3 linked regions of the Danio rerio genome follow. The protein of the gene in region 2 interacts with the protein of the main gene of each other region in a pairwise test. Links are inferred from orthologs where the notes say so. Each region holds a gene or a part of one and is shown on either strand. Other genes may lie near its edges.

Region 1 (3,657 bases), on a different chromosome or scaffold from region 2:
TTTGGTAGAAAACAACAGATTTAACATAAATATTTGTATTATTTCTGAAAGGGTTTAGAATGCAGTGCTTCCCACACATAAACTTTACTTAGGCAGGCCACCCAGGTATATTAACAGCTCCCAAAGTATATTTATTGACACACATTTTTGAAAATCTCCTAAAATTTCCGGGATTTCTTTTGGTTCCGCTTTCTAAAGCTGTCATCAATTGTTTGTGCACAACCGTGAGAGAGACATTAAATAATTAATTCTTTAATCTTAATGTCTCAGTCGGAGAGGACGAAATTAGATGTAAATTGGCTGCAAAACATTTGTACACTATTAAAAATGGCTAATCAACTTGAAATAATCTACACGTTTATTCTTGTAATTGTTATCATTTTTAGAGATATTGTCTGTTTTTATTTCTTTTTTTCTGTAATTTATTTCTTATTTGCTGTATATTTTATTAATTTGATGATGTTAATATAGTGAATATTTTATAGATCTAATATGCTTTGGCAATACTGAACAAAATGCTCCCGACTAGCATAAAAGTTGCATGAAATTGTGGATTTCCTTAAAAACTTTAACCTATTAAAAGAAACAGTGTATAACAGTTCCTTAATAAATAAAATATTGTTAAATGTAGTTATGTTTTGTTTGTCGCATATAGTATATACTAATTTATGTGACGTGGGTAAAAAGTGTATTTCAATCCGGCTACCACTGCAAGTATATTTCAAACATGTGGGAAGCAATGTTCAGTTTAAAATATCCCATCTTAATTGAATTAAATTTAAACTTAATTAAATTTCTAGAAACGCATATTTGAAGAATCACACATTCACTACCTGACAAAAGTATTGTGCCTATCCAAATTTAAGAACAAGACATAATAACTTGACTTCTAGTTGATCATTTGGTCTCAGAAGTGGCTTATATGAAAGACAATGTCTCTAGATTACGCTTATTTTACCAAAATAAAATATGATCATGCCTCGATTTTTAATTATTTAAATAGAACAGTAAAGTCTGACTTTGCTTAGACAAAAGTCTTGTCACTTAACAGAAATAATGTACAATATAGAATATAATGTCATGCTGCAGTGGAAAAAGAATTAATATTGTGTCTGACTCCCATGAGCTTGAAGGACTGCATCCATACATCTCTGCAATCACTCAAATAACTTATTAATAAAGTCATCTAGAATGGCAAAGAAAGTGTTCTTGCAGGACTCCCAGAGTTCAAGATTAATTTCTAATGCCTCCTCCTTTATCTTACCCCAAACATGCTCAATAACGTTCATCTCTGGTGACTTGCCTGGCCAATCTGGAGCACCTTGACCTTTTTTGCTTTATGGGTATGAGAAGTATGAGAAGGAGCTCTATCCTGCTGAATAATTTGCCCTATCCTGTGGTTTGTAAAGTAACAGGCAGCACAAATGTCTTGACACCTCAGGCTGTTATTGTTGCAACCCATATATATATTGAATATTTATTACATCAGAAAGAATTTGAGTCATCTACAAACCCTTCCAGAAGTGCGGCAGTCGTCCTGAACAACGATTTTCAATCCTCTTGTGTTGATTTCCACTATGCAAGGCGAAGGAGGGCTAAACTGCATTGTTGTTCGTCTGTTTGATGCTATCTGTTGACATAATCAGATCGCAAGCGAACATCAGATTACATATGAACAACATGCACCACTGCAATCATTATGTAAATATATGAACATCCAAGCCAGAGTCATAACACAGAATTGGATTAGTACCTTGTGCATTGCGGCACAAAGCACATCGTTCCCTTTGTGATACGGCACTTGAACAGAACCAAGAAATTTCACCCAGAATTTGTCCATCCAGTCACCTTTGACCTCTAATGAATCACAGCAGACAAAAGAAGTAATCATTACTAAATGCACAAAATCTCAAATTCTTGTAAGTCAGGGTTTCTGCAGGTTTCTTCAAGTCAAATGTAAGACTTTTTAAGACCGTTACGAATTATATTTTAGACTTATACAGGGTTAAACACCTAGGATTTTTTCGAATGGCCTGCTTACTTCTGTAAATAGTTTTTGTATTAATGGAAGATCATGTAAAGGGATGTGTTGCTTTTGTTTTCTTCTCAGATTAGGAAGTTTAATTTGCTGTATGATGTCTAACAGCAGTTGTGAATTGTATCTCTTTGTAATAATAAATTTAAATATATACATAAAACGTTTTAAGATGGATTATTGGTGATTGTTTGTCAGCCCGATAGGGTAGCTTTACTTGGACATAGGAAAATCAAGGCCTGTTTACAATGATTAAAGACCTACTACTTAATATTCAGTAAATTTAAAGGTGCTGTAAGCAAATTTTTGATGCTTCTTAAGCATAAAAATACCATAATATGTTTGCAAATATTTAAGGAACATACATGCCTATTAACTAGCATATAATATAAATATAACAAACATAAACATTAGGTGAGCAGGTTACATTGTAACCCGTGCCTTAACAACAAGCTACGTGTTGAGATTTGCAATGATTTAGCAATGTGGCTGTTTGCACCGGATAAAACACAACTGAAATTTAAATACAGCCATTCAGAAGCAAAGAATAGTGCACTCACTGCACTCCAATAAAATTGTAAGGTTTATAATCTAATTAATACATATTAAACCTCTTTAACACTACTAATGTACATGCTGAATCACTAATACAAGTTGGCTTTCACTAAGTCACACTTCAAAAGTTCAATTTAAAACTGTTTATTTTGTTTTCAGGATCTGAGATCTGCTGCTGCTTTCAGTAGTATGGCAATAAATGTCACATATAATGCCACTTAAACTCATATTGTTAGCATTTAACACCAAATAAAGCACATGATGTGTACCTGAGGTGATTATTGTCAGTTTTCAGTTGTTCAGCTGCAAGAAAATAAAGCCATATCTAAAATATAGATTTCGGGTGTTGGCTAGAACAAAATCTTTTTTTAATATGCAATATTCTTTCTATCACGTGTTTTTTTTAGAACATGGGTTAAATCAGCCTTAAATGAGCCATTGGGCTCTATATTCAGGCACACTCCTGTTGGTGTCGTGAATCTGGTAACCTGCGCTTGTGTGTGCTTTCCCGAGTGCAATACCCAGATCAACCACTGGGTGTCAAACGTGCATACTGCATCTTTAAGACTATTGAAATTTAAGACATTTTAAGACTTTTAGACACCCTGTAAATGCTACAGTAAAAGCAAGATTTACCTTTAACAAGTTCATCCTTTGCCACCTTGACGGCATAGAAAGCAGGGAAGATGCCTCTGGTTCCGGTGCGCATGTTATAGGCCTCGCACCACAGATCCTCAGCCTGCAACTCCACTAGTAATGGGTCGTCCGCTTCTAACTCCAACTCATCATCATGACGAGGAACAAATCTGCAATCAAGCAAACGATTGATAATCGTATTATTGAAAATATTAAGTTAATCCCGAAACTTTCTTGGTCATGATATTTCAATATCCCTTTTATGTAACATGGCTACTTTATTTCTATTTTTTCAAAACAAAGCACTAAGGATTTGTTTGAACGCTTACCTGAACACCGCTCTGTGGCTCTGTTCTCTTTCCTCTCCATTAATAACGCAGGAGAAGAATCCAAACTCAGCACCTGAGAGGAAGAACAAACATTCATTGGCA
Region 2 (3,657 bases):
CTGAGTAGAGGACTTTGGACTGAAAGACACTATAACCAGGGTTATTCCCCTTGTTGTAAGGGAGAGAGATACTGTAGGAGTAACCCCCACCACCCCAACCCCCCAATCGGAGTGGTAGAGGGATGCCAAATTCGAGAGAAAATGGAGATATGCTGGATTATTTATGCAGATTGGATAGTGGAATAATTGTCAATGATGAATTATCCTCGTCAAAACATCTGCTCATTCTTCTCCCAAAATTTGATCATCAAACATCACACTTGAATATATTTAACTGAAAAATACAGAGATGTGAATCCATTTACCTGGAATTGAATCACGGGATTCAAACAAAAGATTTGCAAAATTATGAAGCTTTACAAAGCAATGTTTCAAAATCACATATTACTAAAGATTAATGTGGTTTGTATTAGTGGTTTGTATCTAAATCAATAAATTATAATTATTATCAATAAATGCATTTCTATCCAGTCCCACCTCATTTTTGTGACACAGTTTTAAATCATATCAGGATATTTTGACTCCTTTAATGAACATTCATTTTCCTGAAAAATAATCTCAGTGTAACATCAGCAGCTTTGGTCGAATATGTTAAAAAAAATATGGAACCCACCACAGTTTTGCTCATCACTATTGTCTCCACAGTCATCCCAGTGATCACAGACAAAGGGCATTGGGATGCAGAATCCATTAGCACATTCAAATTGATGTGACTGACAATGCCTTGCTGTTTCAGAGATGAAGGACAAAAACATATATGAAAGGAAATGACAGCAACGTAAAATCCTAAATATACATCTTAACTCTATTCACTGGCATCTCTAATTAATAACTATTACAACTCACTGCAGTTGGATTCATCTGATCCATCTCGACAATCTAGTATCCCATTACAGTGTTGAGCATTGTTGTAACAAGCGCCATTAGCACATGTCTTCTCTGTGCAGGCTGGGTAATCTGGAATAAATGAGAAGAAATTTGATGCATTTTATTGCAATTACAAAATCTGAATATGAATGAATTTTACGTCACCCAACAGTGTTCTCGTGTCATTTTGGTAGCTGATTTATCTTGAGATTTTTATGTGTACTGGACCATGGCTAGTAGTCATATGCTTTTTTCTTGTAAAGATAACGTTACTTTACTTTAACCATTAAGGTAAAGGTTACTTTACAGTATTTTAACCTTTGTGACAGACATGTTGCAATTTAGTTTAGGTGTAAAAGATTCGAATTTACTTTTGACTATAAAAGTAATATAAAATGATAATAATGCAGTAATCTTTTATGTTCTGATATTCTGGTCATGTTTTTTAACTACACATTTACAGTCTGTATTGTTACTGAGAAATGGTAAACAGCAAATTGCTAAAAGTAATAAATATTTGTATTTATTTTTTTATGTATTACAGGTCTAGACTGAAATAAATAGTTATTATAGAGTTTTGTTATAGAGATGAGAGCTAAATTACCAGTTTTTCTGTGAATTTTTAATTCATTTTGCTATTTAACCTTTTGTCGTGCTTGAGTCAAATCTTATTTTATGCTTAAAACACTCAGAAATATTGTCTTTTACATCTGATTGCCTCAAGGCCTTATGATATCCTCCATGCTATGCACTTGAAGTGCAGATCATCTCTTTCATTCAATTTGAAGTGTTTTAATCAATTGTTACACCAGTGGTGTTCCCGATCAAAATTGACCGTAACAGAAAATAAATGGGTGTCCAGACTATATTCATCCATCAGAGAGAAAGCATTCCTATACACACCACCCCAACTCACTCACTCACCTACACACACATTTCAGACTGAACAGTAAGTGATTTGCCTTGAGAAAGCAATGGATCCTCAAACGCAAATCATTTTTCTAATAAAGCAATTGTAATGTAAACCCATCTGTGTGTTCTTTTCTTTCTTTCTTTCTTTCTTTCTTTCTTTCTTTCTTTCTTTCTTTCTTTCTTTCTTTCTTTCTTTCTTTCTTTCTTTCTTTCTTTGTTTCTTTCTTTCTTTCTTTCTTTGTTCACCCTATCTCTGGGTGTAGCAGGAGCACTTTTAGCTAAGCTTAGCATCCATTATTTTATTGGATTAGACCATTAGAATCTCGCTCAAAAATGACCAAAGTACATCTAGTGCTAGTTCTGTGTCCATGCTCACTGTCTATACCCTCAGTCACTAATCCCTATATTAGTGCACTAATGTTGTCCTATTGAAGGACTGAATAAAATTTTGAGGACTCAATACACAGGAAAGTATGCCGCTTTCTTTGTGCTTTGCTGCTTGGTAAATCATACAGATTAATTAAAATTTAAATTTCTTTGGTCAAACGCTGCTAGTTTCTTAGTTAGCTGTCTATTAGTAATGAAACAAAGTATTTTAGTTTCTGTCATTGATTGTTTATTTTGTAATACATTCATTCATTTTCTTGTCGGCTTAGTCTCTTAATTAATCCAGGGTCACCACAGTGCAATGAACCGCCAACTTATCCAGCACGTTTTTACGCAGCAGATGCCCTTACCGGCCGCAACCCATCTCTGGGAAATTTTGTAATACATTCAGTGCTTAATTGTATTTTCACTGCAGTTATTTTATATCTAAATTTTTCAATTAATGTTAAACACTACTTTGAGACATTGTTCACAGGTCAAGAATGTTAAATAAAAATTAAGTGGTGAAAAATGTTTTTTTTGTGCTAATATAAAAGCAGTTAAAACAGACTGCTCAATTTTGACCTGGAACACTAAAGTAAGCGCCGGGATGTGAACACGACATGAGGTTAATGGAGCAAACATAGTTTTCAACACATTTTTAAACATAGTTAAATAATTTTTTAATAGCTAATTACTTTTGTCTTTGCTCTGATGACAGTATACATAATATATTACAAGTAAATTATCAAGATACAAGCATTTAGCTTAAGGGTACAACAAGGTGTAAATTAGGCAAGTTAGATTAAGTCATTCAACAACCAGAGCCTGTTCTGTGGCCAATGGGGGAAAATCTGTAAAATACTGTGAAAATGTGCTTGCTCAGTTAAACAACACCTAATTTAAATGTTTGAAAGTAATTAAAAATTCACAAAGCACATATCTACTAAAGACCCCTATAAGTCATGAGTTTCATTACAGTCATAAAATTAAATAATTACAAAATATGTTAGACTTGCCTGATTTGATAATTACTACATTCTGTTGTTTAAAATCCACATTGCTACAGAGGAATAGTAAATGGGAAGAAAGGTTCTTACTGCAGTTGTTCTCATCAGAGTTATCCACACAGTCTGGCACATGGTCACAGTTGTATTGTTTGGGAATACACTGCCCTTCTCTACATGTGAACTGGTCTGGACTACACGTCTGACCACCTTAAAAAATAAAAAAGGTGGGGTCATAGACTGTCTGTGTTATATGTGTTATATATATTATTTCTTATTTTTAACGGAATTAACCAAATTTTAATTATGTAGACATACTACAGGTCCTTTGCTCATCAGAGCCATCAGCGCAGTCTGCTTCTCCATCACATACAAACTCAAGAGGAATGCACTCTCCTCCTGTCAGACACTTGAACTCCTGAGAGCTACAGGTGGGTAATGCTAAAAGAACGAGGTAAATAATTATAATAATAAATGTATTTGCATTAAACAAATGCTTTGACAT
Region 3 (4,449 bases), on a different chromosome or scaffold from region 2:
TTTTTAACCCCATTTAAAGGCCAAAATTATTAGCCCCTTCAAGCTATTTTTGTTTTCTATAGTCTCTAGAACAAACCATCACTATACAATAATTCACCTAATTACCATAACCTGCCTAGTTGACCTAATTAACCTAATTAAGCCTTTAAATGTCACTTTAAGCTGTATAGAAGTGTCCTGAAAAATATCTTCTCAAATATTATTTACTGCTTTCATGGCAAAGATAAAATAAATCAGTTACTAGAAATGAGTTATTAAAACTATTATGTTTAGATATGTGCTGATAAACTCTTCTCTCTGTTAAACAGAAATTGGGAGAAAAAATAAACAGGGGGGCTGATAATTCAGGGGGGATAATAATTCTGACTTCAACTGTATATCGTTATTGTTTAGTATGGAGTATAATAATCAAAACTGCATTTTTGCCATATTGTTGAGCCCTAGTTTGTGTTTAATACTTTGATCAATAAATGGTTTTCATAAAGGAAAAGGTTTTTATTTTTATGCTTTTTATGCTTTGATAAGGCTAGCTGGGTAAAAAAGAGAAAAAAACTAGAATTTACCTGCTTTTATTATATTTATGCTATAACTTTGCAGCATATATAGTTATTATAATGAGAGATTATTAATTTAGTAAAAGAATTTAATTTAATTTTTGTAAAGGAGAAAGCGTCCCCAATTGTAATCCAATGTTGGGTCAAATATGGTCAAATCGAACAATTTGTTTAACTCAACGGTTGTACAAGAACCCAACATTTATTTTATGCTGTATGTTTTTTTTTTAATTGCTTGAACTGACTATAACAGAACATCAGAAAAAAGTCCAAGGGATTATAGATCTTAGAAAAGGTCAATAATATACAGCCATAAGAGAAAAATATATATAATCACAAATAACATTAGACAGAAAGGGAAAAAATTAAATATAATAATTACAGCAATACTACTACTACTACTACTACTACTACTACTACTAATAATAATAATAAAATTAATAATAATAATAATAATAATAATAATAATAATAATAATAATAATAATAATAATAAAAAAACATACACAAAATAGTAAATCAAACAAAAATAAACAAATGAATGAAATTACAATGACACTTAAAAAAATAACCATAAGGAAAGCAGCTAAAATCAAGGATCTTCTTTAAATAAATCTGTATAATATTTCAGGAATCTTAGTTTTTTTATTATTTTTTATTCTTAATAAGATGAAGTGATTTTAGGAGGGAGTTAAATTCTATTATAAAAATGAGCAAAGGATAGGTAATTATTTGCAAATTTTTCTTTTAAAAATGTTTTGGGTTATTATAATAAAAAAATTATGTATTTTGGACTAAAGCATTTCACAGCATTGGCAAATATGAGAAATTAGGAGTGACCAAAACTGCTTGTAAATTGGACAATCAAAAAAAATAACCTATATGCTAATGTCTCCTCTGCTTGTTTGCAGATAGAACAGGAGCTGTCAAGAATTTTATGGTGTATGAATTCGAACTAAAACTAATAACTAATCAAACTGACCAATCAGTGACAGCTTCTGATATCTAAGCCACTCCCATTTATTCCATCAGTTTCATGTTCGCCGTCATTCTACTCGCTCGTTCTGTTTCTGTGCCTCATGCACGCGCCTCTGCCTCCTCAGCATCAGCATCATCAGATGCGCGCAGATCACGCCAAACAGCGCACTGGTTTACCAGCAGGTGTGTGTGAGCGAAACACAAGATAATCGATATCTATACATCGCCACCTATGTGTGTTCTTGATATCTGACTCGCATTTCTTCGGATCAGCGATTGGACCGTTTTGATGGTTTGATTCCCAGCGGGCGTTATCAGTCAGCGTGGCCGCGAAAAGAAGACGGAATCAAGCGAGATCATATTTAATATCCGCCTCTCCAGCGTCTGTGGATGGGCTGCGGACATCTGCATCTGCAGTCTCTGTTTTTGAGTCACTAAGAAGATGGCGGACAGGGCAGAGATGTTTTCTCTCTCCACCTTCCACTCCCTCTCTCCTCCGGGATGCAGGTAAGACGCGCAAATGCTTCTCTGGGGCGCGCGCGGGGTTTCCGCTGCTTCTGCCGTATATTTATTCATATAATCGGCTCTTATGTGATCGTTAACGTAGCGCTAATGTCCTCAAGCACATTCAGAAATTAGCATCAGCATCATCAGCATCCGCAAGCAGTGATCCTTAGCATCCTCTGTTTGTTGATGTGCATAAACAATAACGCCCTTGTTGTTGTTTTTTTAATCATCATTATTATAGTTGTCGTTTGTGGCACGGATGCGTTGTGTATATGTGTAAATGACGCGCTTGTGACATGAAACTAAGCGAAGGACAAGCGATTGATTTTTGTTCCTTTTTTTTTCTGCCTGGCATGTCATTGCCTGACGCATCCTCTCTCTGAGATAGTTGGCATATACTGGAAAGACCCACGCCCTGTTGTGATGCTCATAACTGCATTTTAATCCGTGATCACATATTTTAATGTTCTTATAATTATGTAATTATACAGGGCTGAGTAACACTATTGAACAGTCCTCAAATTGTGATGCGGAGCTGCTTGTAATTGCACATTGTTATCGGTATAACTGTAATAATTGTGCTGGGGAAAAGGGTATTTATTTACATGTTAGTTGTGATCATGTTTTGTATCATAATTTACTTCCATCTACAAAAAAGTTTAATGGGATGTTTTGTAGCACTTTTAATCTGCTAATAGGGTAAAATACATGTGTAACTTGACTACGTTGTCAAAAAAAAGAAGCATAACATGTATAATGTCCTACGACTGGATCTTGTTAAATCAAGCTGGTTTGTGGATTTGCTGTATACAACATGTATACAACATATGCCAGAGTAGTTGGCGGTTCATTCCGCGGTGTTATTTCCTGATAAATCAAAGCGAAGGAAAATGAACGAATGTTTAATTAAAATTACAGAAGTTTTCCAACTTTAAAGCACAATGCATAATTCAAAATATTGGAAAACACATGCAAATAATAATATTCAACTATTCATTAATATAGTTCCTTTATTAATCCGGGGTCGCCACAGCGGAATGAACCGCCAACTTATCCAGCACGTTTTTACGCTGCGGAGGCCCTTCCAGCCGCAACCCATCTCTGGGAAACATTCATACACTCTAATTTACACTGATACACTACAGACAATTTAGCCTACCCACTTCGCCTGTACCGCATGTCTTTGGACTGTGAGGGAAACCGGAGCACCCGGAGGAAACCCACGCAAATGCAGGGAGAACATGCAAACTCCACATAGAAATGCCAACTGACTCAGCTGATGCTCGAACCAGCAACCTTCTTGCTGTGAGACAACATCACTACCTACTGCACCACTGCGTGGCCTAATATTAATATTCCTAAATGTATTTTTGATTGCATAGAGTGCATGGTGGGTATTTCTTGGCACCTGATTGTATTTCTTATATAAAATACATAAATGTATATGCACCTATAAACTTGTCAGTGCTGCCTTGTGGCTTTTCAGTGGCAAGACTATATTATGGATAGTCTCATGACATTCCTCAATAGTGAGGTAATAAGCTCTTCTCGAAGCAAATGCTGTTTTGGACTGTTTTACTCACAGGGCCGTTTATATCGAAGTTGATATCTAGCTGTATCATGTTGTTTCATTCATTTATTAATTTTCTTTTCGGCTTACTTCATATATTAATCAAGGGTTGCCACCGCAGAATGAACCGCCAACTTATTCAATTTAATTTATCTTTATTTGTATAGCGCTTTTACAATGTAGATTGTGTCAAAGCAGCTTCACATAGAAGATTATAGTGAATTGAAACCGTGTCAGTTCAGTTTTCAGAGTTTAAGTTCAGTTCAGTTTAGTTCAGTTCAGTGTGGTTTAATATTCACTGCTGAGAGTCCAAACACTGAAGAGCAAATCCATCAATGCGCACCTCTACAAATCCCGAATCATGCAAGCCAGTGGCGACTTATTTAGCATATGTTTTACGGAGCGGATGCCCTTCCAGCCACAACCCAACACTGGGAAACATCCATACACTCTTGCATTCACACACATACACTGCGGCCGATTTAGCTTATTCAACATCTAACTTTTACAAGGTGTGTTGTTAGCCCAACGCTCAACCCCTAACCTGGAGGACCAGGACATACACTATGGACATTTTAGCTTACCTAATTCACCTATAGCACATGTCTTTGGACTGTAGGGGAATCCGGAGCACCCAGAAGAAACCCAGGCCAACACGGGGAGAACACGCAAACTCCACAAAGAAATGTCAACTCGAACCAGCAACCTTCTTGCTGTGAGGCGACAGTGCTACCCACTGTGCCGCCACATGTTTTATACACTGTATCAGTGGTTTAAGCAGCTATTACTAGCTCTAAAATTACATTTTGGAATTAGAAACAAAGATTTAAGATAAGGGGGC

What was found.
Region 1: the proteins of lrp2b (region 2) and mapk8ip1a interact in a two-hybrid assay, tested with the Homo sapiens proteins (2 studies listed by BioGRID). The link is inferred for Danio rerio from reciprocal best matches to the Homo sapiens genes LRP2 and MAPK8IP1.
Region 3: the proteins of lrp2b (region 2) and mapk8ip2 interact in a two-hybrid assay, tested with the Homo sapiens proteins (2 studies listed by BioGRID). The link is inferred for Danio rerio from reciprocal best matches to the Homo sapiens genes LRP2 and MAPK8IP2.

Annotation. Positions count from the first base shown.
Region 1 is NC_133200.1:14,745,974-14,749,630, forward strand, and holds part of mapk8ip1a (C-Jun-amino-terminal kinase-interacting protein 1a), read right to left. Parts: intron 3,629-3,657; coding exon 3,556-3,628; intron 3,397-3,555; coding exon 3,227-3,396; intron 2,213-3,226; exon of another isoform or gene 1,858-2,212; coding exon 1,754-1,857; exon of another isoform or gene 1,631-1,753; coding exon 1,514-1,630; exon of another isoform or gene 1-1,513. UniProt on the Homo sapiens protein: The JNK-interacting protein (JIP) group of scaffold proteins selectively mediates JNK signaling by aggregating specific components of the MAPK cascade to form a functional JNK signaling module. Required for JNK activation in response to excitotoxic stress.
Region 2 is NC_133187.1:17,725,090-17,728,746, reverse strand, and holds part of lrp2b (low-density lipoprotein receptor-related protein 2), read right to left. Parts: intron 3,594-3,657; coding exon 3,471-3,593; intron 3,363-3,470; coding exon 3,246-3,362; intron 958-3,245; coding exon 847-957; intron 728-846; coding exon 614-727; intron 1-613. UniProt on the Homo sapiens protein: Multiligand endocytic receptor. Acts together with CUBN to mediate endocytosis of high-density lipoproteins. Mediates receptor-mediated uptake of polybasic drugs such as aprotinin, aminoglycosides and polymyxin B.
Region 3 is NC_133193.1:9,483,981-9,488,429, reverse strand, and holds the start of mapk8ip2 (C-Jun-amino-terminal kinase-interacting protein 2), read left to right. Parts: upstream 1-1,632; 5' UTR 1,633-1,973; coding exon 1,974-2,038; intron 2,039-4,449. UniProt on the Homo sapiens protein: The JNK-interacting protein (JIP) group of scaffold proteins selectively mediates JNK signaling by aggregating specific components of the MAPK cascade to form a functional JNK signaling module.